4 linked regions of the Struthio camelus genome follow. The protein of the gene in region 1 purifies or fractionates together with the protein of each later gene. This does not show direct contact. Links are inferred from orthologs where the notes say so. Each region holds a gene or a part of one and is shown on either strand. Other genes may lie near its edges. The genes, in order: SNW1, CCNT1, EEF1A1 and SNRPB2.

The links.
Region 2: the proteins of SNW1 (region 1) and CCNT1 purify together in Homo sapiens (affinity purification with western blotting; 3 studies listed by BioGRID and IntAct, with this or other methods). This does not show direct contact. The link is inferred for Struthio camelus from reciprocal best matches to the Homo sapiens genes SNW1 and CCNT1.
Region 3: the proteins of SNW1 (region 1) and EEF1A1 purify together in Homo sapiens (affinity purification with mass spectrometry; 3 studies listed by BioGRID and IntAct, with this or other methods). This does not show direct contact. The link is inferred for Struthio camelus from reciprocal best matches to the Homo sapiens genes SNW1 and EEF1A1.
Region 4: the proteins of SNW1 (region 1) and SNRPB2 purify together in Homo sapiens (affinity purification with mass spectrometry; 3 studies listed by BioGRID and IntAct, with this or other methods). This does not show direct contact. The link is inferred for Struthio camelus from reciprocal best matches to the Homo sapiens genes SNW1 and SNRPB2.

The regions. Positions count from the first base shown.
Region 1 is NC_090946.1:59,329,815-59,337,124, forward strand, and holds the start of SNW1 (SNW domain-containing protein 1), read right to left. Parts: upstream 3,018-7,310; 5' UTR 2,938-3,017; coding exon 2,924-2,937; exon of another isoform or gene 2,670-2,923; intron 2,528-2,669; exon of another isoform or gene 2,511-2,527; intron 1,865-2,510; coding exon 1,711-1,864; intron 1-1,710. Other genes in the region: ADCK1 (aarF domain-containing protein kinase 1), read left to right, coding at 3,180-3,212. UniProt on the Homo sapiens protein: Involved in pre-mRNA splicing as component of the spliceosome. As a component of the minor spliceosome, involved in the splicing of U12-type introns in pre-mRNAs.
Region 2 is NC_090969.1:1,042,865-1,050,442, reverse strand, and holds the start of CCNT1 (cyclin-T1), read right to left. Parts: upstream 3,015-7,578; coding exon 2,821-3,014; intron 2,691-2,820; coding exon 2,609-2,690; intron 2,358-2,608; coding exon 2,229-2,357; intron 1,323-2,228; coding exon 1,262-1,322; intron 47-1,261; coding exon 1-46. Other genes in the region: ADCY6 (adenylate cyclase type 6), read right to left, coding at 5,617-5,745, 5,835-5,959, 7,477-7,578. UniProt on the Homo sapiens protein: Regulatory subunit of the cyclin-dependent kinase pair (CDK9/cyclin-T1) complex, also called positive transcription elongation factor B (P-TEFb), which facilitates the transition from abortive to productive elongation by phosphorylating the CTD (C-terminal domain) of the large subunit of RNA polymerase II (RNA Pol II).
Region 3 is NC_090944.1:42,400,594-42,407,721, forward strand, and holds the start of EEF1A1 (elongation factor 1-alpha 1), read right to left. Parts: upstream 3,019-7,128; 5' UTR 2,735-3,018; intron 1,876-2,734; 5' UTR 1,828-1,875; coding exon 1,684-1,827; intron 817-1,683; coding exon 637-816; intron 494-636; coding exon 197-493; intron 1-196. UniProt on the Homo sapiens protein: Translation elongation factor that catalyzes the GTP-dependent binding of aminoacyl-tRNA (aa-tRNA) to the A-site of ribosomes during the elongation phase of protein synthesis.
Region 4 is NC_090944.1:134,156,865-134,164,365, forward strand, and holds the start of SNRPB2 (U2 small nuclear ribonucleoprotein B''), read right to left. Parts: upstream 3,016-7,501; 5' UTR 2,452-3,015; intron 2,078-2,451; 5' UTR 2,054-2,077; coding exon 1,990-2,053; intron 27-1,989; coding exon 1-26. UniProt on the Homo sapiens protein: Involved in pre-mRNA splicing as component of the spliceosome. Associated with sn-RNP U2, where it contributes to the binding of stem loop IV of U2 snRNA.

The sequences.
Region 1 (7,310 bases):
AAGCAGCACCAGCATCTCCTCCTCTTTCGGCTGCAGTGGCATAGCTTTTGCAGAGCCTGACAGTGAATCAGATCAATGAAAAAGATTGGTTCCATTTTCAGTAGGTTGATCCTCCATCATATTCACCATGTGGACAAGTAGTTTTGCCAGTGCAACACAGAGAGCGGACTGAAGCTGGAGTAAGTGGGCAGAACACCCCTCCACAGCAGCACACGCTCACGGTAGCTTAAAGTGCTCACTGAAATACAGGACCAATTACTGAAGGTCTTCTACCGGATGTCCCACATGCAACAAGTCGTTACAGAATCAATGTTAAAATACTACATGGAACAAAAGTTAGTCATTCCTCAGAACTTTTCAAAGTACTCTAGATCTTCTAAGAATGGATTTTTCCATTGATGCCATCCCAGAATCATGGGACCAAGGTTATGCTTTAGAAACATTTATTACCCTTGAAGAATATGTATTTATCTAGATGGACAAGGGAGTCCTTAACAGCCCTTTTGAGATCTGTATCACTTTGTGGCCCAGTGATGCTGGAAATTGTTTAAAAACCTTGACCTAGTTTTTTAAGAAGTTCTTAGCTAACACTTGGAGAATAATATGCTAACATCAGAAGTAGCGTAGGCAGAAAGTTTAAGTGAATGTAGAGCTCTTAACATTATTAAATGCAGAGCTTACAGAAGAAGTTTGTCTTAAAGGAGCAGTGGAACTATTTGAAGTCACCTTTTTTTAGTGCTAATGGATCACCAAAGTACTGTGTTGGATCCATCTTTAAAAAGATGGTTCCAAACGTAAAGTATTTATGTAAGTAAGGCTGTTATTAGCTCATGAAATGATGGCATTTGTGAACAAGGTTGGATCACAAAACACTGTACCAAAACCTGAACAGTATGCCTTGTCCCAAGAACACTTGCTCATGGCTGATCGTAACAGGTCTCAGACATTGTGTTAAGTACCATTTCAAGTACTGTCTGCAATTTTTTTTTTCCAAATCTGCAATGACAAATCACACCAAAAGATTTTTGTATTCAGTTATACACTTGCATTTTCTATCCAAATTTTCAACTCTTCCAGTTGAAATCACATAAAACAGGCCGGGATCACAGCTAATTACCATCCACGATTACCATCCAAGACCCTTCTGCCAGTAACACACTTTAACAATGACAAATTTTAAAGTTTTCCTCTCAATTCCAACAAGAGTTTCTCCCTCCACACTAGCAGCTACCTCGTGTTACCATAAGAACAGAATACCCATAAGTAGTCTGTTCTCTTATATGTGTGTGTGTGTATATATATATATATATATCTGTTTCCTTATTCCAGCTATAACCTAGATCACGTGTTTAACAAATAACGATGAGGGGAAAACACAGATGTCTTTCTTGGAGCATCCTTGCATTGAGAGACTGTAAACCGACATGGCCATGGAACCATTTCCACATTACTGCATAATAATTTCTAAAGGGAAGAGCCCATACAATATACAGCTTACCATAAAACTTTTTAAGTAACACAGTTAATTACAACAACTTCCCCTGACTCAAGAACATATCCATCAGCTTTGATGGAAGTTCTCCATGTGGTAAGGCTTCACACAATTCTTTGTGCTACATTCAAGATGCTCAGAGTTTATTTCTACTCCAAAAAATACACTTTTTTTCATGAACAGAGACACACTACTACAGTGTGATTGTAAGCATATACCTCCAGCATCCGTGGTATCCATCCTTTCCGGTAACCATACGGGGGAGGTTCTCTTCGTGATGACACTAGAGCAGTTTGCCTCGATCTTTGCGCTCTCGCCCTTTCTTCTAGTTCTAGCTGGTCCTGAGACAGCTGGGTTGGAGCCGGTAAAAAACTGCACATCCATAGATAGCCCAAAATAAAGAGAGACAATTAATTTTGAGAATTTCACTCAACAAAACTCAACTGACACTTGAATCTGTAACTAGACTATTCTTCTTCTCTCTACCATTGATCAATAGAGATTCACGAAACTTGAGCATGGTGCTCATGAAGCACAGAGCAGTAACTTCCAAGTTTAAAGGGGCAAAATCAATTCGTGCTCTGTCAACGTTCTGAAGGATTTCTATAGAACCTGATGTTAAATTCACCCATATTCACATCCTGCCTGAGCAGCAGCATGACAGTGACCATTCTCTAACAAGAGTGTGACAGACCACTATGTATTTTTTTTTCCACTACTACCAATCAGAAAAAAGAAAATACACCCCTAGTCTCAGTGACTCCCCCTTCTCTTCTCTCAAAGCGAACGTCCACAGAGAGATCTATCGACAATCCTCCCCCTTGGCACTAAACCCCTGCCAGCCAAAGTCAAGAACTTGAGCCCCGAATTCTTGACTTCCTACTTTTCAGCTCATCTAGACGGCCTCTTACATGTCTTCAAGGAAGCATCTACCTCCTAAACGGAAGGCGCTCCTGAGCCCACAGAAGTCGCACTCCTGAAGACGGTCAGAGAAACGCAGCAGCTCGTAACAAGGCCCTCCCATCCTCACTAACGGTGAGAAAACCCCCACAGAAATCGCACCGATCCGATCACCTCCAGCCGAGGCCGGGGGCTCCGTCTTCCCGCAGAAGCACGCGAGGCAGGAGCCCCCTCGTCCAGAAGGCGGTGCCCGCACTGCCCAACGCCCCCTCCCGCCAGTACGGGGCAGGCCCCTGCGCCTCCCCCGGCCTGGCCCTCGCCGTCCCCAGGGAGCAGCGACGCTCGACCCACCGCGGCGCGGCCTCGTCGGCCGGCGGGCCCAGCGCCTAGGGAGCCCGCGGCCCGGCAGCGCGAGGTCTGAGCGCGGCCCTCTGCGGCGGCCGGAGCCCCACACAGCGGCCGGGGAGCCGTACGCAGGCAGGAGAGAGAGCAGTTCCCCCGACCCGGGCAAACCGAACCCGCCGGACCCACCTGGTGAGCGCCATCTTGCCGCCTTCGTCGTCTTCTCGGGGCCCAGCGTCTGTGGGGGGTGGGGGTGGGGGGGCGGGGAGCGCGCTTGCGCATGCGCCGCGCGACCCAGTTGCGGCTGGGAGTTGTAGTCTCAGAGCTCCGCAATCGGAGGCGGGGCGGGGTCCCCCGCCTCCAGGCGCATGCGCGCATGGCGCAGTGCTTGCTGGGAGATGCAGTCCGCCGCCGGCGCGGAGGCGTGTTGGGTCGTGTGGCTGCCATGGCGGCGGTCGGGTTGAGCGGTCTTTCCCAGGTACGGGGCGGCCGTAAGGGCCTTTTTCTTTTTCAGGGCCAGCCTGTAGTGTGCAGGATGGTGGAGGACATCTCCATCTGTGCACGCTGGTCTCTAGGCCGCTGCTGGGCTTGGTGTGGGTCACTAAACACTGCAGCCACATTGGGGCCTGGGACCTGATGTGCGATGCCAGGCGCAAATCTGCTACCTGACAGCCCCAGTCTGATGAAATCCCCCCAGCCTCAGTCGACGGTGTCTCTCGTAGTGCCTATCTTTACCCCTTCGATACCTCCCAAGGCATTGCTGGTCTCTGCAAACTGAAACAGAAGAGTTGGACCCAGCAGCAATGGCACAATCCCAGAAAAGCTGCTTCAGCAGGTTTGATACAGTTGTCTTCGTTGAAATTGCAAAGAAAAAAAAGGAGGGAAGCCTGGTACAAAGGCCCCTTTTTTAGACATCCTGTCTATAAATATAGTTTCCAACAACTTCAGTAACTTAATGGTTCATCCAGCTGAAGGATGAGGTATCCTAGTAAAAGGTAGAAAATACAGTGCAAATGGCATTGCAATAGAATTTCTTGATCTGATATCTGGTACTTAGGCATCACTGAGTAGGACATGAGAGAAAAAGGAGAGAGAGAGATGAAAACTGGTATATAAATAACTTGAGTTAAAATAAAAGCTTTTGCATTAAATGTCAGATGCTGTGTACATGTAATGGGCGTATGTTCAAATGTTACATAGTGTTTTTTTAAATGAAGCTTCTAAAACACCTCAAGAGATGTAGTTTTTAGGATATAGTTAAAATGTGAAATAGGGAAAAATATTAGCCAGGAAGTTGTAGTAACTGGAGACTAGATGGAGCTTTAAACGGATAAGGTGCCGCTAGTGCTGAAGTGGCAGTATTTAGTGCCATATAGGACAATAAATTTAGTTGCCGATTAATAACTGCTACTATTGTGTTACCATCTTGTGAAGTATGGTGAGGATCATGCCCACTTTGCCTGGCATGGTTCATCTAGAAGAGACACACAAGCCGACTAGAGAAGAAAAGGGTAGAATGTATAAGAAGCAAACATATTCCTATTACAAATAAATAAATAAAAACTTTCCGTGCAGTAAGAGGCAGGAAGACTATAAAAGAGACAAAACTCCTGTAGACTAAATTCATCTGTTAGAATTTCTAGGCTGAGTGAGATTTGGAGGATTGTAAGGGCAGTTCTGTTGTAGTCCTTCTATGCCAAAATTCTCATTGACTTCAGTGGAAATCTGACTTCGGGTTTGCATTGTGCTGACAGCAGCTGTGTCATCAGCTCTATGAATGACATATTTTCCCTTCTCTTGGAGAAAACTGTCCTCTTCTGAGTACATCAAACAAAGCTAAAGATACAAGATTTTGACATATATTGTTTATCAATAGTTGTGCTAAGCAAAGCTCCTCTGTCATCTCTTGTATCCATTTCCTTCACTTGTTTAGGAACTGAATTGCTGTTGTCACATCCAGCAGTATTGCCCCCAGATTAAAGAGCATTCTGTCACCATATGAAGTTGCCATTGTCTCTATCTCCCACTGTGATACTAGCCTCAACTGAAAAAATGTCTATTCTCTGTCTTACTGCTATGTTTCTCCTCCTTCCTTTGCTGTGACGTTTTATTTAATGCTGTATGGTAGTTGTACAAGTTTGTGAACTATTTTGCAACACAGTTTTTATGACAGTCACTACAGAAAATTGTTGTTCAGAAGGTAAAATTGTACCTGAGCAATCTGGTTCAGCTCCAACACTTGAGAGATGTTCCATTGGTTTCCTCACGCTCACTGCTTGCTTGTTCTTATAATTATTCTTTTTTTTTTCTCTCTCTTTGCAGACAATAAGCTGTTTGTGTTTGGAGATGTTTATAGCTGTCTGGCTGTAAGACCAGTTCTGTTGAATAATTTTTACGGTTCAATTTTGCGGTTTACTTTTGATGTGTGAGTTGGCTAATTTAGAGTTTGTGAATATGTAAGGCTCTTAACGCTGGGTAGAGTGGACCATATGGTGTGAAGGGGCTCCACAAGCTTATTCCAGACCGTATGGCTTTGTAAATGTATCTCAGTCTGTTTTAGGCACCTACTGCTTATCCAGCTGTGGGTAACTACTTGTCCCTGTCCTGGGGTACATGCAGAATATCAAACCTAGAAAACGCTTACATTTAACTTGTCAAAAATGTTTGCTGGGATAAACAAAAATAAATTCTTGAGAAGTTTAGAACTCAAAAATGAGGGAAGTTTGGAAAAGTCAACATATTTTCTTTCAACTTTTTCAAAATGAAACATTTAAACCCTGGTTTAAAACAACGTTGGCCAAGTTTAGCCTACTGTATTTTTTAAAGTAGGAAAATTCTTAAAACCAGAATGTTTAATTTCTAGTCTAGTAAAACTTCTTTTCATTTAGAACAGGATTTTTTTTTCATTTTTCTCTTGAAGTGGGATAATGATTTAATTCATATATTGGGTTAGCCACAAGACCAAAAAAATTAATTCGTACAGTTGTCCTTGGACCTGATCTGGTGCACCTTCCATTACTTCTGCCTACCACGACATTTTTTAGCGCTGTGCAACACTTGAAGATGTATGCTACATGGGTGGAGAACTGGCTGGCATTTCAAAAAGCAAAAGATCATCAGTGGGGGATCAACACTGAATAACGGTATTTCTGAGGATGGGATACTAGGACTTACACGAGTCAACATTTTCATCAGCGATCTGGCAGTCAATACGAAATCACTTCAAAAAGTCTTTAGCTCTCTCACAGAGTGGCAAAATGTTCAGTAACGCTGAGAGGAGAGTCATACTAGATTACATGGTAGATGTGATCCATTCAGACAAAATGTGTTTTAATATCGCATGGTGCAAACTTCTTTATCTGGAAGTAAGAAATGAGGGGTTAAGTACAGACTGTACTATCCTGGAAAAGAGAGCTTCTGAAAAGGATCTAGAATGGTCATGTCAGAGAAGCAGCTCAACATGAATTTGTTGTGCAATGAAGTAACAAAAAGTCCAGTGCGCCCCAGGGATGTTTAAGTAGGGGCAGAGCAAATTCTAGGGCCACTATATATTGTCCTGGTGACCACATTTTTAAAATAGTGCTTGAAAATTGAGGAGGGTTGGAAACTACAGGGATAACTTAAGGCTAGCATAAATTAGAAGTGTAGGGCAAATACAATAAGTGCACTTGTTTTGTGGTTAGCTCTTAAGAGGTAAATGCTGTACCGCCAAATTAGGAGAGGGTGAGCTCCATCTATCTGTGTTTATTGTCAATTACATTAAGAAGGGAATTGATTCTGAGTAAGCAAATTACAACTTTTAGTATGTTTTGCTTATTACAAAAAGACTGAGAAGAGATTGATCATCATGCATATGTACTTTTACAAGTTAAAACTACAAGATCTGAAAGTACTCTAATCTGTTAGAGAAAGGCATAACAAGAACCAGTAACTGGAGGCTGGAATTGCAGAAATTCAAATGAGAAATTAGGCAGAAATATTTAACAATGAGAATGATTAACCTTTGGAACGGCATGGAAAGTACTCACTTCTAGTGCTGTCTAGTGTTATCTTCTAGTTAAAGCTGAAAGTCTTTAGGGAACAGACATTTTCATCATTACAAGGTCTTCTTTAGGCCAGCCTGAACTCTCAGAGCCAATATAGAAATAATCAGTTGAAACGTCATGTTTCAGGAACGTCTTCACAGATCTCCTAGTTCTGGAGTTTTTTTGAACCAGACCTGGTAACTGTTCAAAGATGGCAGCTCTAGCAGAGGTCTCATAACAAGAAACATTTATGCAAGGAATGGTTCTGAAATCCTTAGATCTGTTTCCCCCAACTATAAACCAGTCTCTAAGAAAGAAGGATGAGTTCCTTTTTGTTTTTACCATGATCTTTTTTGCTTAACATTACTAGACAGCAAGCTATAAGGTCTCCACATACATCACTTTTCAGAAGTACACCACAATGGTCCTCCATATGGTGAGTAAGGAGCTGAGGCTCTAAGGTATATTGGCGTGGCTGCCAGCAGGGACATCTTAATTTGATGCGAATACCACAATTGGCTTTGAAATACCACAATTGGCTTTGAAAACAC
Region 2 (7,578 bases), on another chromosome or scaffold:
CACTTCACCACGTGGGTATGCGGGTGGTCAATAGTGATCTCAAAGCCTGGAAGAACACAGATATATGGCCATCAGACAACTAGCAGCACGCTCCCAGAGATCTACGAACCTCACGTTTCCTGCTCGTGGGGGACAAGCCTGGTTCTCCCCTTCCCTCCTATAGCCCCTGCTCTCCGCTCCGAGGTGAGCAGGAATAGAGGAGCGCGTTTTCCTTTATCCAGAAGACTCAAGTTCTCCAGTCACAAAACCTGAAGGTCACGGCTGCTGCCAGGCCTCCAAGCAGCTAAATGACTTCTGTGCGTGAAAGACCTCACTGAAAACAAAACAACTATTAAGGATTTTAAAAATAGAAGGACAAAACCTCTTACAGCAGCTGGGAGGAAGGAGAAGACAATGGCATTTGCTCAGAGGAATTTTTCTCACCCAAAAAGCTAAGAGGAAACAGACGTCTTCCCTTTGAAGGAGACTACAGCATTAAAGTCAACTGAACTTAATCCTTGCTTCAGTTTCCTATTTAGTTTGTACATTATGGTTTAAAGAAAAAAATTTCAATTCAAATCTGTCCATGTGGGTAACAGATTTGGCTTTTTCTGTGCAGAATATTCTAGATGAACTGTGAAGTTTAAAAAAAAAAAAAGGCAACTGGAGAACCAAACACAGTAGATCCAAAACTCGGATCACGAATAAGATCCTCGATCTGACAGACAATCACACCCCTTACTGTGGGCTCCAGGTTCTATTTTCAAAAACCAAACAGAAAGAAAACTGTGGCTGGGATAGTTCAGCTGAACGCTAAAAACAAAACAAAACAAAACAGCGACCTGATCAAAATATTAACTTTCAACTCAGGTTTTGTTAGACATCTCCCAGTGCAAACAGCTTCCATTCCTGGCCACTGGACTAGAGCATTATCAAGTTTAACAGCATAACAGAGGACAGCGACCAATGTCCGAGCAGTACAAACCTGTTGGGGAAGGGGGGTGAAGGGGGGGGTGGGAAGAGACGAGCCACACTTTCACATGTTTTTTTTTGTGAACACTGAACTTGACACAAGTTAAACCTGAAAATGTTGTTATTAAAAGGAAAACACAAGGTGTGGGTGTGAAAAAGAGTTTGTTGCCTGGACTCTTGCTTTCCCACTGGCCAGCTGTGCATCTGCCCTCCAGCTGTGGAGAAGACTGTGCAGTTAAGACTCTCCGCCCTGCTGAACACTCCTGGGTCTGGGATTCGTGTGGCAGCCCGTCCGCTTTGAAAAACTTACCCAGGGTCTGCAGTATTATGCTCTCTAGAATGACCAGGTCTTGGGCTTGTTGCAGGTAAGCCTGGGGTTGAGAGGACAGGCAAGTTACTCACGATGAGGCACTCCGTATAAAGCCTGCACATTTCTAACACCCTTTCTCAGGGAGGCAAAAAAATAGCAAAGGGGAATCTTTATGCCCCAATCTGGACTGGGGAAACTGGCACAGATTCCCTGCCAGAAGAGAGAAAGCAGAGCGCTGGGTGGACCCACTCCCCTGCTAGTTCTTGCTCTACAGGATTGTTGCTTCAGGATCCGCATTGGCCCTCTTAGTCCTGGTCCCTCAAGAGGGGTTACATGGCACGGGATGGCTCTATGAGCAGTACAGGATGGCGTTTAGCTTTCTCCTTAAGCTTTGGCTCCTGGATAAAGCTTCCCCTTTTCAGCAGGGTTGGCTGCTCAGTTCCAGGTAAGACGGGCTGTCTTGAGAGATAGGGAATTGGCAACGTTTCTAATAAACCCACAATTAAACAAGCGGGAACAGAACAGAATCAAACTGCGCACATCATTTGCTGCTCTGCCACAGACGCTATTTAATCCCAGCAGCCAACATCCACGCTCTCCTCAGAAGCTTTTTAATGCAGACACTGTTACACAGCACATCTGAGTCACATTCGCAGCAGCACAGCAGAGGAAAACAGAAGAGAGGTTGCCACAGAGCAGGAAAGAAAAACCTTCTGCTGTACAGAAGCCAAAAACCTCTCTGTAGTAAGAGAGCAGTTGAATTGAGCTGTAACTAACCATCCTACGACACAACCACTCATTTAGAGAGTGGATGCTTATGAGCCTGATTTAACGAGACGCTGTAGCCACGTGATCTAGTTATATCAGCAGAACTGCACGGTTCAGGATGCAGCACACTCCCACCATTCCCATTCTTCGCATCTCTGCTCCTCACTTCACAGCGCGGTCCTCCCATCTCCACACTTACCTCGCTCCTTGTGTCTGGAAGAGTTTCCAGGGGGTGCAGACAGGCATGTGCTACCTTGATTACGTGCTCCAGTTTACGAGGCTGCTCCTCCACCTTGGCTGCCAAGAACAGAGCCGCCGGTGCCACCGACTTCAGAGAAGAAAAATATATTTTTTTAATTTTTTAAAGATAATAAGCTCAAGACTAAAGCAAATAAAGTAGGCTAGTTTTTTTAACGATACGATAAATATTCTTTTGGGAAACAAAGCGTGTCTAGGTAACTTGGGGGGGAGGGGGGGACACAAGGGGGTCTGTGACAGCTACCAGCAGCGGGGCAGCACCCTGCCTCCCTCAGCACCCCCCCACCCCCGGCCCGGGACTGGGGGCAGCGGCGCACTTACATTCCGGTGGAACTGGGTGAAGGACTGCACCATGTAGAAGCGGTGCATGTACACGATGGCCGTGTTGATGGTGAGCTGCGAGCTGGCGGCACGGTTAAGGAAACGCCCCCCCCTCACCGGGCAGCTCCTTCATCCTCCCCTTCCCCCTCCCTCCCTCCCTCCCCGCCCCGGCACTCGAGCGCAGGCTGCGCGGCCTAGCGCGGGCCGGATACACGTTGAGGCGCTGGCCCATGTCCTGCAGGAGGTTGGCGGCCTGCTGGCGGTACGAGAGCTCCTTGTCCGGGTCGAGGCCGGCGCGGCGCGAGGGGCTGCGGTCCAGCTGCTCGCGGCTGAAGTACCAGCGCCGCCCCGCCGCCGCCGCCGCCGCGCTGCCGGCCCCGCCGCCGCCGCCCGCCGAGGCCTCCATGGCGATCCGCGCCCGCGCGCGCGCACGCACGCAACGCGACGCAACGCGACGCAGACGCAGACGCGACGTAACGCGCGCGCCTGCGTCACGCGGCGGGGCCGCGCGCGCGCGCGCGCGCCCCGCCCCGCTGCCCCCGCCGCGCATGCGCGACGCGGCGTCTCGCTCGCTCGCTCGCTCTCCTCCCCCCCCTCCCAACCCGGAAGTGGGGGGAGGTGGGGGAGGCGCGCTCGGCCTTTGACCCTGCTGACCCCTGACCTGCGACCCCAGCCCTCCCCTGACCCCCCCAGTGACCTATGACCCCAGCCCTCCCCTGACCCCTGACCCCCCAGTGACCTGCGACCCCAGCCCTCCCTGACCCCTGACCTGCGACCCCAGCCCTCCCCTGACCCCCCAGTGACCTATGACCCCAGCCCTCCCCCTGACCCCTGACCCCCCAGTGACCTGCGACCCCAGCCCTCCCCTGACCCCCCCAGTGACCTGCGACCCCAGCCCTCCCCTGACCCCTGACCCCCCAGTGACCTGCGACCCCAGCCCTCCCCCTGACCCCTGACCTGCGACCCCAGCCCTCCCCTGACCCCCCCAGTGACCTGCGACCCCAGCCCTCCCCCTGACCCCTGACCCCCCCAGTGACCTGCGACCCCAGCCCTCCCCCTGACCCCTGACCTGCGACCCCAGCCCTCCCTGACCCCTGACCTGTGACCCCAGCCCTCCCCTGACCCCCCCCAGTGACCTGCGACCCCAGCCCTCCCCCGACCCCTGACCTGCGACCCCAGCCCTCCCCCTGACCCCTGACCTGCGACCCCAGCCCTCCCTGACCCCTGACCTGTGACCCCAGCCCTCCCCCTGACCCCTGACCTGCGACCCCAGCCCTCCCTGACCCCTGACCTGCGACCCCAGCCCTCCCCTGACCCCCCAGTGACCTATGACCCCAGCCCTCCCCCTGACCCCTGACCCCCCAGTGACCTGCGACCCCAGCCCTCCCCCTGACCCCTGACCTGCGACCCCAGCCCTCCCCTGACCCCCCCAGTGACCTGCGACCCCAGCCCTCCCCCTGACCCCTGACCCCCCCAGTGACCTGCGACCCCAGCCCTCCCCCTGACCCCTGACCTGCGACCCCAGCCCTCCCTGACCCCTGACCTGTGACCCCAGCCCTCCCCTGACCCCCCCAGTGACCTGCGACCCCAGCCCTCCCCCGACCCCTGACCTGCGACCCCAGCCCTCCCCCTGACCCCTGACCTGCGACCCCAGCCCTCCCTGACCCCTGACCTGTGACCCCAGCCCTCCCTCTGACCCCCCCAGTGACCTGCGACCCCAGCCCTCCCTGACCCCTGACCTGTGACCCCAGCCCTCCCCTGACCCCCCCAGTGACCTGCGACCCCAGCCCTCCCCCGACCCCTGACCTGCGACCCCAGCCCTCCCCCTGACCCCTGACCCCCCAGTGACCTGCGACCCCAGCCCTCCCCCTGACCCCTGACCTGTGACCCCAGCCCTCCCTCTGACCCCCCCAGTGACCTGCGACCCCAGCCCTCCCCCTGACCCCTGACCTGTGACCCCAGCCCTCCCCTGACCCCCCCAGTGACCTGCGACCCCAGCCCTCCCCCGACCCCTGACCTGCGACCCCAGCCCTCCCCCTGACCCCTGACCCCCCCAGTGACCTGCGACCCCAGCCCTCCCCCTGACCCCTGACCCGTGACCCCAGCCCTCCCTCTGACCCCCCCAGTGACCTGCGACCCCAGCCCTCCCCCTGACCCCTGACCTGTGACCCCAGCCCTCCCTCTGACCCCCCCAGTGACCTGTGACCCCAGCCCTCCCTCTGACCCCTGACCCCCCCAGTGACCTGCGACCCCAGCCCTCCCTCTGACCCCCCCAGTGACCTGCGACCCCAGCCCTCCCCCTGACCCCTGACCTGCGACCCCAGCCCTCCCCTGACCCCCCCAGTGACCTGCGACCCCAGCCCTCCCTCTGACCCCTGACCTGCGACCCCAGCCCTCCCCGACCCCTGACCTGCGACCCCAGCCCTCCCTCTGACCCCTGACCTGCGACCCCAGCCCTCCCCGACCCCTGACCTGCGACCCCAGCCCTCCCCTGACCCCTGACCTGCGACCCCAGCCCTCCCTCTGACCCCTGACCCCACTGTGACCCCATCCCTGACCCCACCTGTGCCCTATGACCCCAGCACTGCTGACCCCTGACCCAGCCCTGTGACCCCTTCCCCATGACCCCGTGACCCCAGCCCCCCCCCCCGCCAGGCCAGGCCACGCCGCAGCTCTTATCGAAAGTGAGGTTTATATATAATTTATCTGTACACACGCAGGAAAAGTACCGTGAGCGCCACCTCCCCGCGGCGCCGCGCCGCCCCCAATCCGCTAAAAACAAAAAAGTCACTTCGTTAATTTTTTTGCATTTAAAAGGCGGGGGGGGGGGGAGGGGGGGAGCTGCCATCCTTCCCCCCCCCCGCCCCGACACGGCTCCGGGGCGCCGCGGCCCCGTCCCGGCACCTCCCCTCGGGTCCGTTTCTCCCTTTTTTTGGGCCCCGCGAGGATGCGGTGGTGGCGGGGGGGGGGGGAACCGGACCCCCCCCCCCAATCCCCCCCCCTCCCCGCTAGCTGTGGCCAGGGCCGGCGTTGAGGAAGTAAGTGGTCATCTCGCCCTTGCCCTTGACCTTGACCACGCCGCGGCACTCCAGCGCGTAGCCCTTGGCCGCCAGCACCTGGTAGAGGTCGGCGGTGACCTGGGTGGTGGTGGGGGGGTCAGTGGGGGGGGGATTTTGGGGGGAGGGGTGGGGAAGAGCCAAGGTGAGGGGGGGGGGGACGCGCTCACCTGGATGCGGTCGGGCACCCCCGTGCTGTCCATGCGGCTGGAGACGTTCACCGTGTTGCCCCAGATGTCGTACTGCGGCTTGCGGGCGCCGATCACCCCCGCCACCACCGGCCCCATGTTCAGGCCTGGGGGGGGGGGGGGTTGTTTGGGGTGGGGGGGAGAGGGGCACGGCGTCGCGCCACCCCCTCCGCACACCACCCGCCGGCAAAGCGGCCCGGGCGCAGGGGAGGAAGGTGCAAGAGGCAGCGTGCACGAGGCGGTGTGCAAGGGCAAGGTTTGCGCAGGGGAAGGGGCGTGCAAGGGCCGGGGTGTGCAAAGCGGCGTGCAAGAGCTGCGTGTGCACAGGGGAAGGAGCGTGCAAGGGCCGGGGTGTGCAAAGCAGCATGCAAGAGCTGCGTGTGCACAGGGGAAGGGGCGTGCAAGGGCCGGGGTGTGCAAAGCGGTGTGCAAGAGCTGCGTGTGCACAGGGGAAGGGGCGTGCCAGGGCCGGGGTGTGCAAAGCGGCGTGCGAGAGCTGCGTGTGCACAGGGGAAGGGGCGTGCCAGGGCCGGGGTGTGCAAAGCGGCGTGCGAGAGCTGCGTGTGCACAGGGGAAGGGGCGTGCCAGGGCCGGGGTGTGCAAAGCGGCGTGCGAGAGCTGCGTGTGCACAGGGGAAGGGGCGTGCCAGGGCCGGGGTGTGCAAAGCGGCGTGCGAGAGCTGCGTGTGCACAGGGGAAGGGGCGTGCCAGGGCCGGGGTGTGCAAAGCGGCGTGCGAGAGCTGCGTGTGCACAGGGGAAGGGGCGTGCCAGGGCCGGGGTGTGCAAAGCGGCGTGCGAGAGCTGCGTGTGCACAGGGGAAGGAGCGTGCCAGGGCCGGGGTGTGCAAAGCGGCGTGCGAGAGCTGCGTGTGCACAGGGGAAGGGGCGTGCCAGGGCCGGGGTGTGCAAAGCGGCGTGCGAGAGCTGCGTGTGCACAGGGGAAGGGGCGTGCCAGGGCCGGGGTGTGCAAAGCGGCGTGCGAGAGCTGCGTGTGCACAGGGGAAGGGGCGTGCCAGGGCCGGGGTGTGCAAAGCGGCGTGCGAGAGCTGCGTGTGCACAGGGGAAGGGGCGTGCCAGGGCCGGGGTGTGCAAAGCGGCGTGCGAGAGCTGCGTGTGCACAGGGGAAGGGGCGTGCCAGGGCCGGGGTGTGCAAAGCGGCGTGCGAGAGCTGCGTGTGCACAGGGGAAGGGGCGTGCCAGGGCCGGGGTGTGCAAAGCGGCGTGCGAGAGCTGCGTGTGCACAGGGGAAGGCGCGTGCAAGGGCCAGGGCGTGCAAAAGTGCAAGCAAAGGCTGCACTTGCAAGTGGGACAGGGTGTGCAAGGGCTGAGCGGGCACAGGGGAAGGGGCTTGCAAGAACTGGCCCGTGCAAGGGCTGCGTGTGCTGAAGGGAAGGGGTGTGCAAGGGCCGGGGTGTGCAAAGGGGCGTGCAAGGGCAGGGTTTGCGCAGGGGAAGGGGCGTGCAAAGGCCAGCACGCGCAAAGCAGGGCGGAAGGGCCCTGCGGGCAAGAGGGGAAGGGGTGTGCAAGGGCCAGGATGCACGAAGGGCGCGCACGTGCAAAGAGGCGTGCGAGGGCCAGCGCGTGCGAGGGGGAAGGGGCGTGCGAGGGCCGCGGGCTCTCGCTCACCGATCTTCATCTGGAAGTTGTTGAAGGAGTGCTCGTTGATGTACTTCATCTGCTCCATGAGGTGCATGGCGTAGTCGGCCAGCGCGGCGACGTGGCTCCGGC
Region 3 (7,128 bases), on another chromosome or scaffold:
GCCCAGCCATAAATTATCTGCTGGTTTTGATGACATAAGACTAGACTAAGAATTTGTCGAGTGGCACGATCCGATTTTGAGCTCAGCACCCACAAACTGAACTTAAACTACCGAAACATATGCATGTTTTACTATTACATGAACTAATAAGATTACTGAGGATCAATTAAGTTCTTAATACAAACGTCAAACCTACGTTAGAGCTAGGCTCCAACATGTTGTCTCCGTTCCAACCAGAAATTGGCACAAAAGCTACAGTGTCTGGGTTGTAGCCAATTTTCTTGATGTAAGTGCTGACTTCTTTAACAATTTCTTCGTATCTCTTCTGGCTGTAAGGTGGCTCGGTGGAATCCATCTTGTTAACACCAACAATCAGCTGTTTCACACCCAGTGTGTAGGCCAGAAGGGCATGCTCACGGGTCTGCCCGTTCTTGGAAATACCAGCCTCGAACTCACCAACACCAGCAGCGACAATCAGGACAGCACAATCAGCCTTTGAAAAGAAAGAAAGAAAGAAAGAAAAAAATAGTAACATCAACTATGAAGTTTACATACGTGTCTGTGTGTTAAGATACACACAAACAAAAAAAACACCCCACTCCCAAGCTCCTAAAATCCTTAGTTCTATTTACATACCTGAGAAGTTCCAGTAATCATGTTCTTAATGAAGTCTCTGTGTCCAGGAGCGTCAATGATGGTGACGTAGTACTTGCTTGTTTCAAATTTCCACAGGGAAATATCAATAGTAATACCACGTTCACGTTCAGCTTTCAGCTTGTCCAAGACCCAGGCGTATTTGAAGGAACCTTTGCCCATCTATCGATTAAGAAAAAAATTCAGTGTTTTTGAAATACGTACTTAATTTTGTTCAGAAAAATCACGAACTGAGAGACACTACCTAAAGGGCAAAAATCTAAAAATAAGAGTAGCTTATACTGGTAAGTGTTGTTGCTTACAAAACTCTGGCCTAGATTCATCTGGCACTACTAGTGACAGATGCCAACTCGTTTTGTTATTTAACCTGCTGACACTTTTAGTACTCTTGACAGCTTGTTAACTGTACTAACACATTACAAGTTAAACCTTGTAAAGCTAAGCTCTCCTATCAAGTGTCCTTCAGAAATTTTTCTTTTCTTAGTAATGCAATCCCCGCCACAATCAAACATCTAAACTGCTTCTCACACTAGCTTTAGTATGTTTCACGTGTAAAATGTTTGCTAAGACCTGATCTCCAATATTACATAGAAAAAGGATGAATAATTTGTTTAAGATTAGCATTCTACAAGCTCCAGTGCTGAAGTGCAGGCACTCCTGGATTTTCCGGTATAAGAGCAATCATAACAACTGCTTTAATTTTATCCTCAACTAAACGCACACAAAGACTTAAGACGGGAACTGCACGTTAGCTCCAATCCCAGACTATCGTTACCGTCGTTATGTAGATGCTACTTGTTCTTCTGTTCTGCTCGTTTCAGCATCAATAATTTGAGCGGGGGCCAACTAACAGAATGCGCAGATTCAAGAGATACAAACACTACTGCTTTTTCAACTATGGGCACAATTTCAAACCAGCGGCCCGCAAAACAGTACATTCGCAATTTATCAGCTTAGTTTTGCGACTGAACTTCTCTTTGTTCACCCACGCTCCCTTTACGTGCTGCTGGATGTTGAAGGCCCACAAACCTCAGCAGCTTCCTTCTCGAACTTCTCAATGGTCCTCTTGTCAATGCCACCACACTTGTAGATGAGGTGGCCAGTTGTGGTGGACTTGCCAGAATCGACGTGGCCAATGACGACTATGTTGATGTGGGTCTTCTCCTTTCCCATTTTGGATGTTTAGTTAAGCTCTTTCTTTCGGCAAAAGAGAATCGACACCTAAAAGCCAAAAAGCAAGCAAACAAACAAAGAAGTAAAAACGAAGTCACGACCACAGGTTTCCCCACCGCAGCCCCGTTCGGTGACACCCAGGGGAGCAGTCGAAAGGGGGCACCAGACCGTGATGGCGGCTCCGCGCGCGCACGCGCGGCGTCCTCGCGGCCGCGGCTCCGCCCCGCCGGGAGAGGGGAGGAGCCGGCGGGCGGGAGCAGGCCGGGGGCCCCTCGGCGGAGGCCAGCTCGTCGCCCCCCTCCCCTCCTCTCCCCGCACCGCGGCCGGGGCTCGAGTTACCCCCCGGCGGCCGGGGAGCAGGGCGGCGGCGGCGGCGCGGGCGGCTGACGGGCAGCGGCGGAGGGCGGGGCCCGGCCCGCTCCTTTGTGTGTGACTCACCCCGCCCGGGCCGCCGCGTCCTCCATTTTGTGAAGTTCGCAGCCGGCAGGAAAAGCGAGCGGCCATTTTTTTTTTCCTCCGCGCACCCCGTCCTCCCCTCCCCCCACCGCCGCCCAGCCCGGGGCACCACCCGGCCGCCCGCGCTCCCGGGCCCGGCTCCCCCACGCCGCCTCCCCTGCCCGCGACCACCCCCTCGCAGCCAGCGGCCGCCACGGCCCTCGGGGCAGCGGCGGGCGCCTCGCGCCTCCGAGAGCGCGTGCGCGCGCCCGGCCACGCCGCTCCGCAGGCCCCAGCGGCGACGAGGAGGCGACGCGCCACCGCTTCCCCAGCGCCGCCCGCCCCTCACCCCGCGGATCCCCCTTCCCCGGCGGCCCCCCGCGCGCGCGACGGCTCGCTCGCTCGCCCGCCGCGTGGGGCCCCGCCGGCCCCTCCCCCTCCCCCCGGCCTGCCCCGCGCGGGCGCGCCTCACCTGCCAGGCGGCGACGGCGGCGGCGGCAAACCCGGAGCGAAAAAGACCGACGGCGTGAGCGGCTCCCCTTATATAGGCTGGGCGGGGGGGGCGGCGCCTAAGCGACACGTCACCACTCCCAGCGTTCCAGCGGCTCCGCCCCGGCAGCGCCGGCCCCGAGAGGCAGCGCGGGCAAAGGGCGCGGCCGCCGAGGCGGGCAGCGGCGCGCAGCCGCCGGGGGCTTCCCCGCCGCGGACTGCGGCCTCGGCGCGAAGGGCGCCTCGCGGCCCTCCCCGCCGCGGAGGGAGGGAGGGAGGGAGGGAGGGAGGGAGGGAGGGAGGCTGGGCTCGTCGCGCCCCGCCCCGCCCGCCGCCCGGCGGCGCCCGCGAGCCCCTGCCGCCGGCTCAGGCGGTTGGCGAGCCGCAGCCCTGACCGAGCGAGTGGGGGCGGCCGGGTCGAGGGCGTCGGAAGAACGGGCATCGGCCAAGAGCTCCAGCAGCCCTTGGCGTGCGTGGGTGTGAGTCACGAGTTGCACCAACATCATGAAAGAATAGAACAGGCAGGCGCAGGTCAGGGTGGGACAGAAAGGTGAGGGAGGCACAGGGATGACTGCTTGACTACGCCATTGCTGTTGGAGAACTACAAGGAGCTTAAGAGCTGGCTGGTCTTCATCATCCCTGGCCCTCAACATACACGGTGGGGGGGAAGGGACAAGCTTAAAACTTCTTTCTTTTCTCCAAGATGACCGCAGCAGCAGCAAGGGGAGCGGAGAGATACAGCAGGGTTTGGTTGAGCCAGATTTCTCCTCTGGACCCTCCCACACATGGAGAAGATGGGGAAGAAAAAGTTGTACAGATTGGATCAGTACCAGGTCCAGCACAGGGACATCTAGCAGCTAAACCAAGCCCTGGAGAATGGCCCCAGGCACCCTCATTATGTTTCTTATTAGAGACACAAAGGAACTCAATCAATGAGATCAGAACTGTCGTTCAGTCTGAGTGGCACTCGTTCAGTCTGAGTGGCACTCGCTAGCCTAAAGTTGCCAGTTGCTTGAGATACTGGAAAGGAAGAACCCCTCCAGCTCATTATATCCCAAGTGCCCCAGGAACGGAGGTGGGGAGAGAGAGCGAGCGAGCAGGAGTCCAGGGAACCCCGTTACACTAGAACAGGAAACCACGTAGTCTGGCTTTTTAAAAAGATTTTTCTTTTTTTCTGGCACCATTGCGAGAAAAAAAGTTAAAAGGTTTTTTTCGCACAAAATACCAGTCAAGATGGACATGCTTTAAGACAGGCTGCATCTGAAATGGAAAGGCTTCAGGTGTGACCAAAGAGAATCACTTACACATTTAAGAAATACGACTTCTGTGTGCAAAAAACCCCAAATTGCATGAAGTGCCCTCGTGCTATTTTTTGAGAGGTCAACATTTATGAACAAGAGAACTACTGGATGGCCTGGCTCCCTCAACAAGTCCTCATGATTCCAACGGATTGAATTGTTTTCTGATTCCTTCACTCCTAAACGAGACAAGAAAACCCATTACATATTCAAATCTCAGATACCTATTAAAGAGAAATTAAAAAGATGAATATTTTCACATGGCCCTTTAAAAAGATGATATCTGCGAAGAAAGAAAGAGTGCATGCTCTATTTCCTTCTCCAGGTACTTTAAACACCTCCATTAGAGGCCATTGCTTAGATATGCCCAACTGCAGTCTTCAGTAGAGCAAAGTCAACAAAACCATTCATTCGCTGCAATGTTCTCCAGATTGGAGTAGTAAAGCGTGGAAATAGTTTCTTTAAAAAAACCCAACAAAAACAAACAAATTCACCCTACTTCATGGGTTGATGTACAAGTGAAATGTTTCCATAAATATCTGGTATTTTTCCACATCCACAATTAACAAAAATTAGGCTGTAAAAATAATTTGAAAATGTCATGTATTAAACAGGCTGTTGAGTTTAGAAAACACCTTTTACACACACACACACACACACACACACAGCCTCAGTTTCACTGAGTAAAAGCCTGCAAAAAGATTCAGATATTGTTAAATAAAAATCACACGCTGACAGCTTCAGTTTCACTGAGTAAAAACCTGCAAAAACGTTTAGATATTGTTAAACTCACTATTTTTTAGGAAAGGAATAAAGTTAAAGTTCTTTCTCTCCAATGTTTTTTAGGAGGAAACGGGTAGCAGCTAGACAGAGTTCAACGTTCTGCAGAACTAACATTTAGGTGAACAGAAATGCTGTTAAGAAGCGAAGAAGTTTCATATGAAGACACAGTAATGGGGGGGGGGGAGGGAAATGGATCACTTTTTTGAAACAGAACTTTCTATTTTTCAAAATTAAAAATATCCATGACCATAAAGTAATTTAAAGGCTCAGGTTGATGACAAAAGGGTAATTAACATTTGGTAAGGAAGATAAGCAGCGCTTTTTGGGTCTCCTGTAACGCGAAGACAGCTTGTAAACGCAAGCTAAAAGGAGTACTATTCAGGATGCTTCAAAGTTAGCTTCTAAAATGGGTATTTCAGTAGAAAGTATTTTTAGTGGACTGATCTGTCAAAGGATCCATTCTAATAAAAATAGTTTAAAACTTTCAATAGGTATCAGTTCCTTGTGCTTCAACAAAGGGAGGAGAAAGGAAATATTTTACTGATTTCTTACGTGGCCCATAATAAACTGGACTTTTTTAAATTTTAAAATAACTTATTTTAGAAGTCTTTTTTTAAAATGAAGCCGTTTGGAACTACGTATTTCTTAAGACAGGAATTTCTGTGGTATGTATGTGGCTGAAAGTCTACTGAATTTGTTGTACAACCTTTTAATCATGGTCCTGATTCAAGTCCACAACAGTTTTTTCCTCCATTTATTTAACTGAACTTTGCACAAGAATTTTATTATTTCCTCCTTAATCGGTCCAATGCACGCTTTTATTCTCTCAACAACTGGCATGTCTTTCATTGTCCATTCTATTCGCGGAACATTCCTATTATCAATCTTGCAAATATTTATACAGCTGGGCAGCTTTCAGATATATGAGTAGTCTCACATAATTCAGTGGAAATACATTCTGAAGAATCCTCTCAAACAACTAACACAGATAGGCATTTACTGGATTAAATCCTGGATGCAAATAGCCTGTTACATATTTCTGATTCTGTTCATTAGACAAAACTATTCTCTTTGATACGAAAGGCTTATGAAGAAACGAAGAGATTTCAAGAAGTCAAGATCTTTCAGGCTTTGGAGCAGTCCTTGTAAAGTCTAGCCCGACCATTGCTGGAAGGGCTTTGTGGGGGGAAAAAAATTATTCATTCTCCCGTGATCATGGTTGAGCATATGCTACACTGAAATAACTCATCCTCATATATGCCTGCAGTGTTAAGAATACACAGAAGTGTTCTCCAAAGCTTTAACATTGTAGAAACCTATGGAGTAGCCACCTTTGCAGAAAGTCCTGACTCTTAGGTCAAATAGTACTGAAACGAAAGTTACGCTGTCCACATATCTAGGCCAAATATTCTAACCAGCGTAAAAATAAATGTTTACTAGATTTGGAGATCAAACTAGCTACTACAGTCTTATTTTCAATTTAATACATAGCTATAGAGAGTATACTATAAATGTAAAATAAGGTCAGTGAAATCACGCTAGAAAATAAAAGATGTTCTCATTGAGCGCCTCGATAATTTTAATGTTCGCTTCCACATGCATGTGGAAGTGGCATCTTTTTGATCAGACCCTTGCAAAGGTGCAGGTAGCACTTACATAACTATTCTAATTGCAATGAGCATGGTCATTCATAAGTGAGAGTAAACACAGGCTTTATAAACACAGTTTAAGGTGTTGGGTTTATCAGATCTGTATTTATCAGAGCTCACGATATATGGAAGAGACGCTAAGATTTCCTGAGGGCACTTTCAGAAAGACTGGTGGAAAAATACCAAATTAAAAATACTAATTGGTGATTAGGAAAAAAGAAAAAAGATGGTGCACTACATTATTCTGCAATACAGAATAATTTACAGAATAATTTAACCTCATAATTTACAGAATAATTTAACCTCATACTTACTATGACGTACTTCCTAGTTCCTGCTGTATGTAACTATGTTGGTCCAAACGTTCAACATACATTATAGGATGAGCACACAGCTTTACTTCCATCTATAAATGCACTTCAATGCCTTGGTTCCTGCTAGAAGTAGAAAGCATCTATATCTGTTAAGAAATCCTTTTCCCTACATCATCCTAATACTTATTAGCAGATTTAACAGTCATCTCAGTGTTTATTAGAACAATTAATAGACTAATGGTGTTATTTACACACCAAGAGATTAGACAGAGAATATGCTTCAAAACTTGAACTGAGCATGGTTAGGTAACTGAAACTTCTTGAAGAAGCTAG
Region 4 (7,501 bases), on another chromosome or scaffold:
TAATGCATACAAGGACCTCTTCAGCTCTGTTGAGGGTATGGAAAAACACATTTATTATCATAGGTTATATGCAAATGCTCAGTTTTATGAAGTTTGTTGTTCTCTAGGGACAGTACTTTTTGCTACTTTTAGCTGAAGTAGTAATCTGTTACATTAGTTTAGCCAAAGTTGTTGCATGAGCCCAAGTTCATTTGCTCAGTTTTCATAATGCAAAACCAAGTGTTATATGCCAACTTACAAGTATTCAACTAGCAAAAAAGTCGTACCTCCATCCATTTTACCATTCTAAGGGAGTATAAATTATGCAAGGATTAATGTACACATGAAGTATTATGCATTACAGCCATCAAATACTGAGTAGTATACAATGCCATAACACATGGCAGTAAAGTAGTACGACGTAAAGAAAATACTGTAAATTAGTAATTAATCAAAATAAACATAAGGCAAGTTAAAGTTTGAAATCAGACTGTTGCAAACAAAATTTCATTCTTTCAAGCATATTGAAATATTTTTTTCATATTCTAGATTGGAATATGTTTTCACATAATCACACTATCCCTTACAGTTGCTACAGATTTATTTTCATGATAAAAAAAATCATCTGACTCCACATCAAGTTAAACCTTAATCTTATCCAGTTAACATAAATAAATCCCAAATCCTCTGTAGTGCATTCAAACTTAATATTTCTTATGTTATTCAATTCTTTTATTTGAAGTATTTCTGCTGACTTTTGTTTATTGCTGTTAAGACTCATTAGTACCAGCCCACTGTCACTTTTCCCAACTGTTCTTGATCAGCTACAGCTCTGTATAAGATCAGAATCAACAGGAAACCAATCAAGGGAACTTGTGAAGGAAGTTGCCTTACAAAGCAATGAATGCAGAAGAAGCTTCAGATGTGAATAAGGGAAAAATAAAAGTTTTCATATCAAACATTAAGAAAAATAACTTCAAAAGACGTACTAGAAATCTGGTTTGTAAGCCTGATATTATTGGCAACTTGCAATTCTACATTTTAAAAATAACCAGGCACTTATTAGTTCATAGTACATAACATGCTATAAGAGAACCACTAAGTTTAATTTACTGAGTGGAACAATCTTGACAAATCGATAGTGTACTGGCAAAGTTATTCCTACTTTCAGATCACTCTCTGAAATACCCAAAAGAAATGTTTAAGCAAGGCTAGTGTCTGATCCAGCAACCCACTGTTCACAAACAGTATTAAATTATCTTTATCCCTTTTAGATTAAGAATTATGCATAAACATTGAAAAGGAGAGCCAGATGGTCCCACACAGACATTGAGTACACAACCAGATAAGAACAAGTGATCTTATTAGCACATCGTGAGGAGCTAAAAACCCTCAACAAGAAATTATCACTCTCTAAAGAGGACCTCAGTAACCGCATACATACATCAAGTCTCCAGTACAATGAAGGGAAACAAGTTAGCTTATGCCACTTTCAGTGATTTTCTAAGGCATTAAATTGAAAAACAAGCATACAGATATTTCCACTTTCAGTGAATGGGACCACCTGAACATACACAAACATGCCTGTTAGGAGTAACCTATCAGAATATTAGATGACTACTATGATTACACTTATTTAAGGATAAACAAGCTTAATCTGTAAGATTAGCTGTACAACTACAGTATACAAGCAATCAGAAGCTTCCTTAAAAATAAATAAGAACTCCAGCTTGTGGAAAAACTTGCGCATGGTCCAAGGCTGGCTAACTTTACCTACTTCTTCATGAAAAAGATTTGACAGCTGAGAACTTGGTTCATGATCACCACTTGCAGTACATTACTAGACAGCTTAGAGGATCTTTGAGGGTGAGATGCTACCAAAACATAAGCTTTTGAGCTTAGGCTCCAGAGCAGTAAAAACTGCAGGCCAGTATAAGCTTGACCTTTTATATATGAGAATTTTATATGCGACGGCTTTCTACTAAACATAAGAGTCACAGACATTCATACCTTCTTTTTTAATCTTGTCATTTATATTGTTGATGTAAATCGTATGGTTTGGCCGGATATCCATCCTCCAACTCGCTTACACACCTGCCTGCAAACAGAGCACACGCATCGCAACGTTATAACGGATGAAGGCTCGCCCCGGCAAAGGAGGCGCCGCCAGCCCCGCGGACGCCCCACAACCCAGGAGCTGGTTAACTAGCGCGGAAAGCGCAGCGGCAGCGCGCCGGGCCCCACCGCCCGCCCCTCTCCCCGGCCGTTTAACAGCGCTCCCGCACCTACCGCAGCGCCGCGACGCCCCGGCCCGAGCACGTTACCCCCCCCGCCCCCCGCGCGCCAGCGGCCGCGGCCCCACGGCCGGGCCCCCCGGAGCGGCCCAGAACACGACGGGGACCCCAATGCCTCTCCCGGGAGCGGGGCCGGGACCCCGGGGCCAGGCAGGCCGCCGCCGCCGCCCTGGCTCACCTCTCCCCGCCGAGATGGAGGCCGCACCGCGCTGCGCCGGCCGCCTCTTCACGCAGCGCAAGCTGACGAGCCGATCCCGCCGCAATCGATGTGCCGAGCGCCGGCGGGTCGATGTCGCCCCGCCCGCGGCTGACGCGTGCGCAGTGGCAGGTTGGGCGGCGGTTGGGCGCGTTGCCGTCCTGTGTGGCTCCAAGTGCCGCCTCCTTGTTCGCGCCGCCTGCGCTCTGTGTGGAAACAGGCCCTCCTGGCACGAAGTACCTGGGAGTCTAGCTGAGAGAGGGTTTTTTTCCCCCTCTCAGCTCAGAGCTGAGCTCGTTGCTCGGAGCTGTGTTGACCCTGAAGCCGACCTGAGCAGCAGTGCTTTCCATCGCGCTCGAACAAGAGCCTGGCAGCACTGCAAAATTCAGTCGTCAGGCTCCTTGATGAGGACGTGGCCTGTAGGCAGTATTTAAGAAAGAAAGCACCCTACATCCCTGCAAAGCGAAGGGAGGAGAGTAATGCCTGTCGCTCCAGTGGTTCCCGGAGGAGAAAATAGTGTTTGTTTTTCTCATACTATGCTTATCTGGTTCCTCAAACGTTTCCATCGTTGTTGCTGTGCTAGTTTTCCAAAGGCAATGAGATAAAAGGGAAAATGCATCGTAAAACCGTTAGACAAATAGCTTGGTTTAAATAACAAAGATTAGCTGACTGCGTGTGAATCGTTTGTTCTGTGGCTGTTTCCACCTTCTCGGTAGAGATAATAAAAAATGTATGCACAGTGCAATTATTTTTTACATATCATTTAGCAATTATTAAACAAAAGCGTTATTGCCAGTTATCAAACTACATACAATAGAAATTGGTATAAAAGCCGTAATGCATTTTTTCTTGTGAGTCAATGACACCACATTATTAGTTTAGAACTCAAATTTCTTTCTGAAAACCGTCACTCGCAGTTAGTTCTTCGTGTCTTACTGCAGCCCCTCTGTCTTCCTCATTACAACACAATTAAAAGCTTGTGTGAAAATAATCCAAACTCTCTTCCCTGCTCTTTATGTGTGCTGCATCCAAGTCACAGTTAACCTTAGTAAGATAATTTGTATACCTCAGATGGAGAAGAGAGAATATTTTACAGATTTTTTTCTATCTTCTTTTCATATTTGGGGAGGTGGGATGGAAATCTCTAGAACCGGTTCCTATAGTGCAGGTGAAACAGCAGGATAAGGCAAACTGCAAGTCGGCAAAGCACACTCAGCAGCGGCCCTGCTTCCCCCCTCAGCGAGCCCCGAGAAGGTAGCTGGCGCGGGTGACGGCCTGGCTCTGGCTGCTGCGGTTGCGCCCGCACAGCCTGCCCTTGCACAGGGAGCCCCGGCTTGGCCTTGCCTGCAGAGCGACTGCGCAGAGCTGAGGAGCCACGCTGCTCCGGGGCATCCAGCCAGGCACGCACCTAAGAGAGAACCTGCCTGGTGTGAGGTCCACTGAAGCCCACAGAAACACCTCTGTGAACTCCATCTTCTTGCTTTGAATCAGTCCCAGGGTGAAAGAGGGAGTAGTAGGTTTGGCTTCACTGAAATCACAGCGACTCTTAAAACTGATTAAATTAGGGGTTTAGTACATGTATTTCACTATTTGTTTCCCCAATTCTTAGCTCTGATGCGTTCAAGTAGAGTACTGAGCAAACTTAACTATGATTTTTGCTTCTTTTGTCAACATATGAACTCATGGAGAGTAAAGAAAAGCAGAAATTTGAAAACACCTGCAGACAAATATTCATTAACTGACATTTGTTTTCAGTTTGGAGATTGAAAAGGCAATGTATCTAATTTCTTGAAGATACTTTTACAATCCCTGCAGTAACAGTACCTCAGGATAAATAAACAGAGCAGAGATTCTGAGGTTGCAACCTTTGAATTTTTGGAATAATTTTGCAGGCAGAATGCCTTTACTTTTATGAATGATCTTACAGACTTTTTCAGAAGCAATTTTATGTTGTGAAGATTTAACCTGGTCGCATGTGAAAAAGAAGCTCTTGGGGGAAAATATAATCCTTAAGATGGTTCTTGTTTAAACTGATTTGGACAGGTCCACAGTGAAACTTATCCCTTTGTAGTGAGACAGGAATATTAGGAAGGGTTGTCAGTTCAGTCACATTTTAAGAAAAAAAAATGACTTCCACGTTCTGGAGTTTTCCCCAGTAAAAGGAAAATATGTTATCACAGAATCACACAGAATCACAGAATGGTGGAGGTTGGAAGGGACCTCTGGAGATCATCTAGTCCAACCCCCCTGCTCAAGCAAGGTCCTCTAGAGCATATTTCTCAGGATCGTGTCCAGGCGGGTTTTGAATATCTCCAAGGATGGAGACTCCACTACCTCTCTGGGCAACCTGTTCCAATGCTCTGTCACCCTCACAGTCAAGAAGTTTCTCCTCAGGTTCAGATGGAACTTCCTGTGGTTGTTTCTGCCCATTGCCTCTTGTCCTGTTGCTGAGCACCACGGAGAAGAGGCTGGCCTCATCCTTTTGACGCTCCCCCTTCAGAAACTTGTACACATTGATCAGATCACCTCTCAGTCTTCTCTTCTCCAGGCTAAACAGGCCCAGCTCTCTCAGCCTTTCTTCACAGGAGAGATGCTGCAGTCCCCTCATCATCTTGGTAGCCCTCCGCTGGACTCTCTCCAGGAGTGCCATGTCTCTCTTGTACTGGGGAGCCCAGAACTGGACACAGTACTCCAGGTGAGGCCTCCCCAGGGCTGAGCAGAGGGGCAGGATCCCCTCCCTCGACCTGCTGGCAACACTCTTCTTAATGCACCCCAGGATCCCATTGGCCTTCTTGGCCACAAGGCCACACTGCTGGCTCATGCTTAACTTGTTGTTCACCAGCACTCCCAGGTCCTTCTCCAGAGCGCTGCTTTCCAGCAGGTCAACCCCCCAGCCTGTACTGGTGCATGGGGTTCTTCCTGCCTAGGGGCAGGACCTTGCACTTGCCTTTGTTGAACTTCAGGAGGTTCCTCTCCGCCCACCTCTCCAGCCTGTCCAGGTCCCTCTGAATGGCAGCACAGCCTTCTGGTGTGTCAGTGACTCCTCCCAGTTTAGTATCTTCAGCAAACTTGCTGAGGGTGCACTCTGTGCCTTCATCCAGGTCATGGATGAATACATTGAACAAGACTGGACCCAGTATAAGCCCCTGGGGAACACCACTAGCTATAGGCCTCCAACTTGACTCTGCGCCACTGACCACAACCCTCTGAGCTCTGCCATCCAGCCAGTTCTCAATTCACCTCACCATCCACTCATCTAGCCTGTGCTTCCTGAGCTTACCTCATAGCTTACATCTATGAAGATGTGATGGGAGACAGTGTCAAAAGCCTTGCTGAAGTCCAGGTAGACAACATCCACTGCTATCCTCTCATCTACCCGGCCAGTCATCCCATCACAGAAGCAAGATTTCCCTTGGGTGAAGCCATGCTGACTATTCCTGATCACCTTCTTGTCCACGTGCTTAGAGATGGCCTCCAGGATGAGCTGTTCCATCACCTTTCCAGGGACGGAGGTGAGGCTGACAGGCCTGTAGTTCCCTGGGTCCTGTTTCTTGCCCTTTTGGAAGACTGGAGTGACGCTGGCTTTCCTCCAGTCCTCCGGCACCTCTCCTGATTGCCAGGACCTTTCAAAGAGGATGGAGAGTGGCCTAGCAATGATGTCCCTCAGCGCTCGTGGGTGCATCCCATCAGGGCCCATGGATTTATGGATGTCAGGTTTGCCTACGTGATCTCTAACCTGATCCTCCTCGACCAAGGGAGAGTCTTCCTTTCTCCAGACTCTCTCCCTGGTCTCCAAGGTCTGGGATTCCTGAGGGCTGGCCTTAGCAGTGAAGGCTGAAGCAAAGAAGGGTGTTCAGCAACTCTGCCTTCTCTGTATTCTTCGTCATCAGGGCACCCACCACATTCAGTAGTGGGCCCACGTTTCCCATGGTCTTCCTTTTGCTACTGATGGATTTGAAGAAGCCCTTCTTGTTGTCCTTGACATCCCTTGGTAGATTTGATTCCAAATGGGCCTTAGCCTTCCTTGACGCATCCCTGCATACTCTGACATTGTCCCTGTAATCCTCCCGAGTAGCCTGTCTCCTTTTCCACATTCTGTAGACTTCCTTCTTCTGTCTGAGTTTTGTCAGGAGTTCCTTGCTCATCCATGCAGGTCTTCTGCCCACTTTGCTGGATTCCTTACTCAGAGGGATGCACTGATCTTGAGCCTGGAGGAGGTGATACTTGAATATTAACCAGCTTTCCTGGACCCCTCTTCCTCCTAGGGCCCTATCCCATGAGATTCCCCTAAGTAGGTCCCTGGAGAGGCCAAAGTTAGCTCTCCTGAAGTCCAGGGTTGCAGTCCTACTTATTGCCCTGCTTCCTCCTCGTAGGATCCTGAACTCCACCATCTCATGGTCACTGCAGCCAAGGCTGCCCCCAACCTTCACATCTCCAACTAGACCTTCTTTGTTTGTTAGTACAAGGTCTAGCGTTGCACCTGTCCTTGTTGGCGTCTCCACTACCTGGGTCAAGAAATTATCATTGATCCTCTGCAGGAACCTCTTTGACTGTTTGTGCCGAGCTGTGCTGTCTTCCCAACAGATGTTGGGGTGGTTGAAGTCTCCCATGAGAACCAGGGCCTGTGATCGTGAGGCTACTTCCAGTTGTCTGTAGAAGGCCTCATTAACTTCCTCTTCCTGTTCAAGTAGCCTGTAGTAAACCCCCACCAGCGTGTCACCCATGTTAGCCTGCCCTTTAATCCTTACCCATAAGCTCTCAGCCTGTTCTTTATCTACCCCTAGGCAGAGCTCCATACATTCTGGTTGCTCCCTCACATAAAGAGCAACTCCACCACCTCGCCTTCCTGGCCTGTCCTTCCTAAAAAGCACATAGCTGTCCATGACAGCATTCCAGTCATGTGAGCTATCCCACCGTGTCTCTGTAACTGCAACGAGATCATGGCCCTGCGACCACACACACAACTCTAATTCTTCCTGCTTATTCCCCATGCTGCGTGCATTGGTGAACAGGAAACTTGTATTTAGGAAAC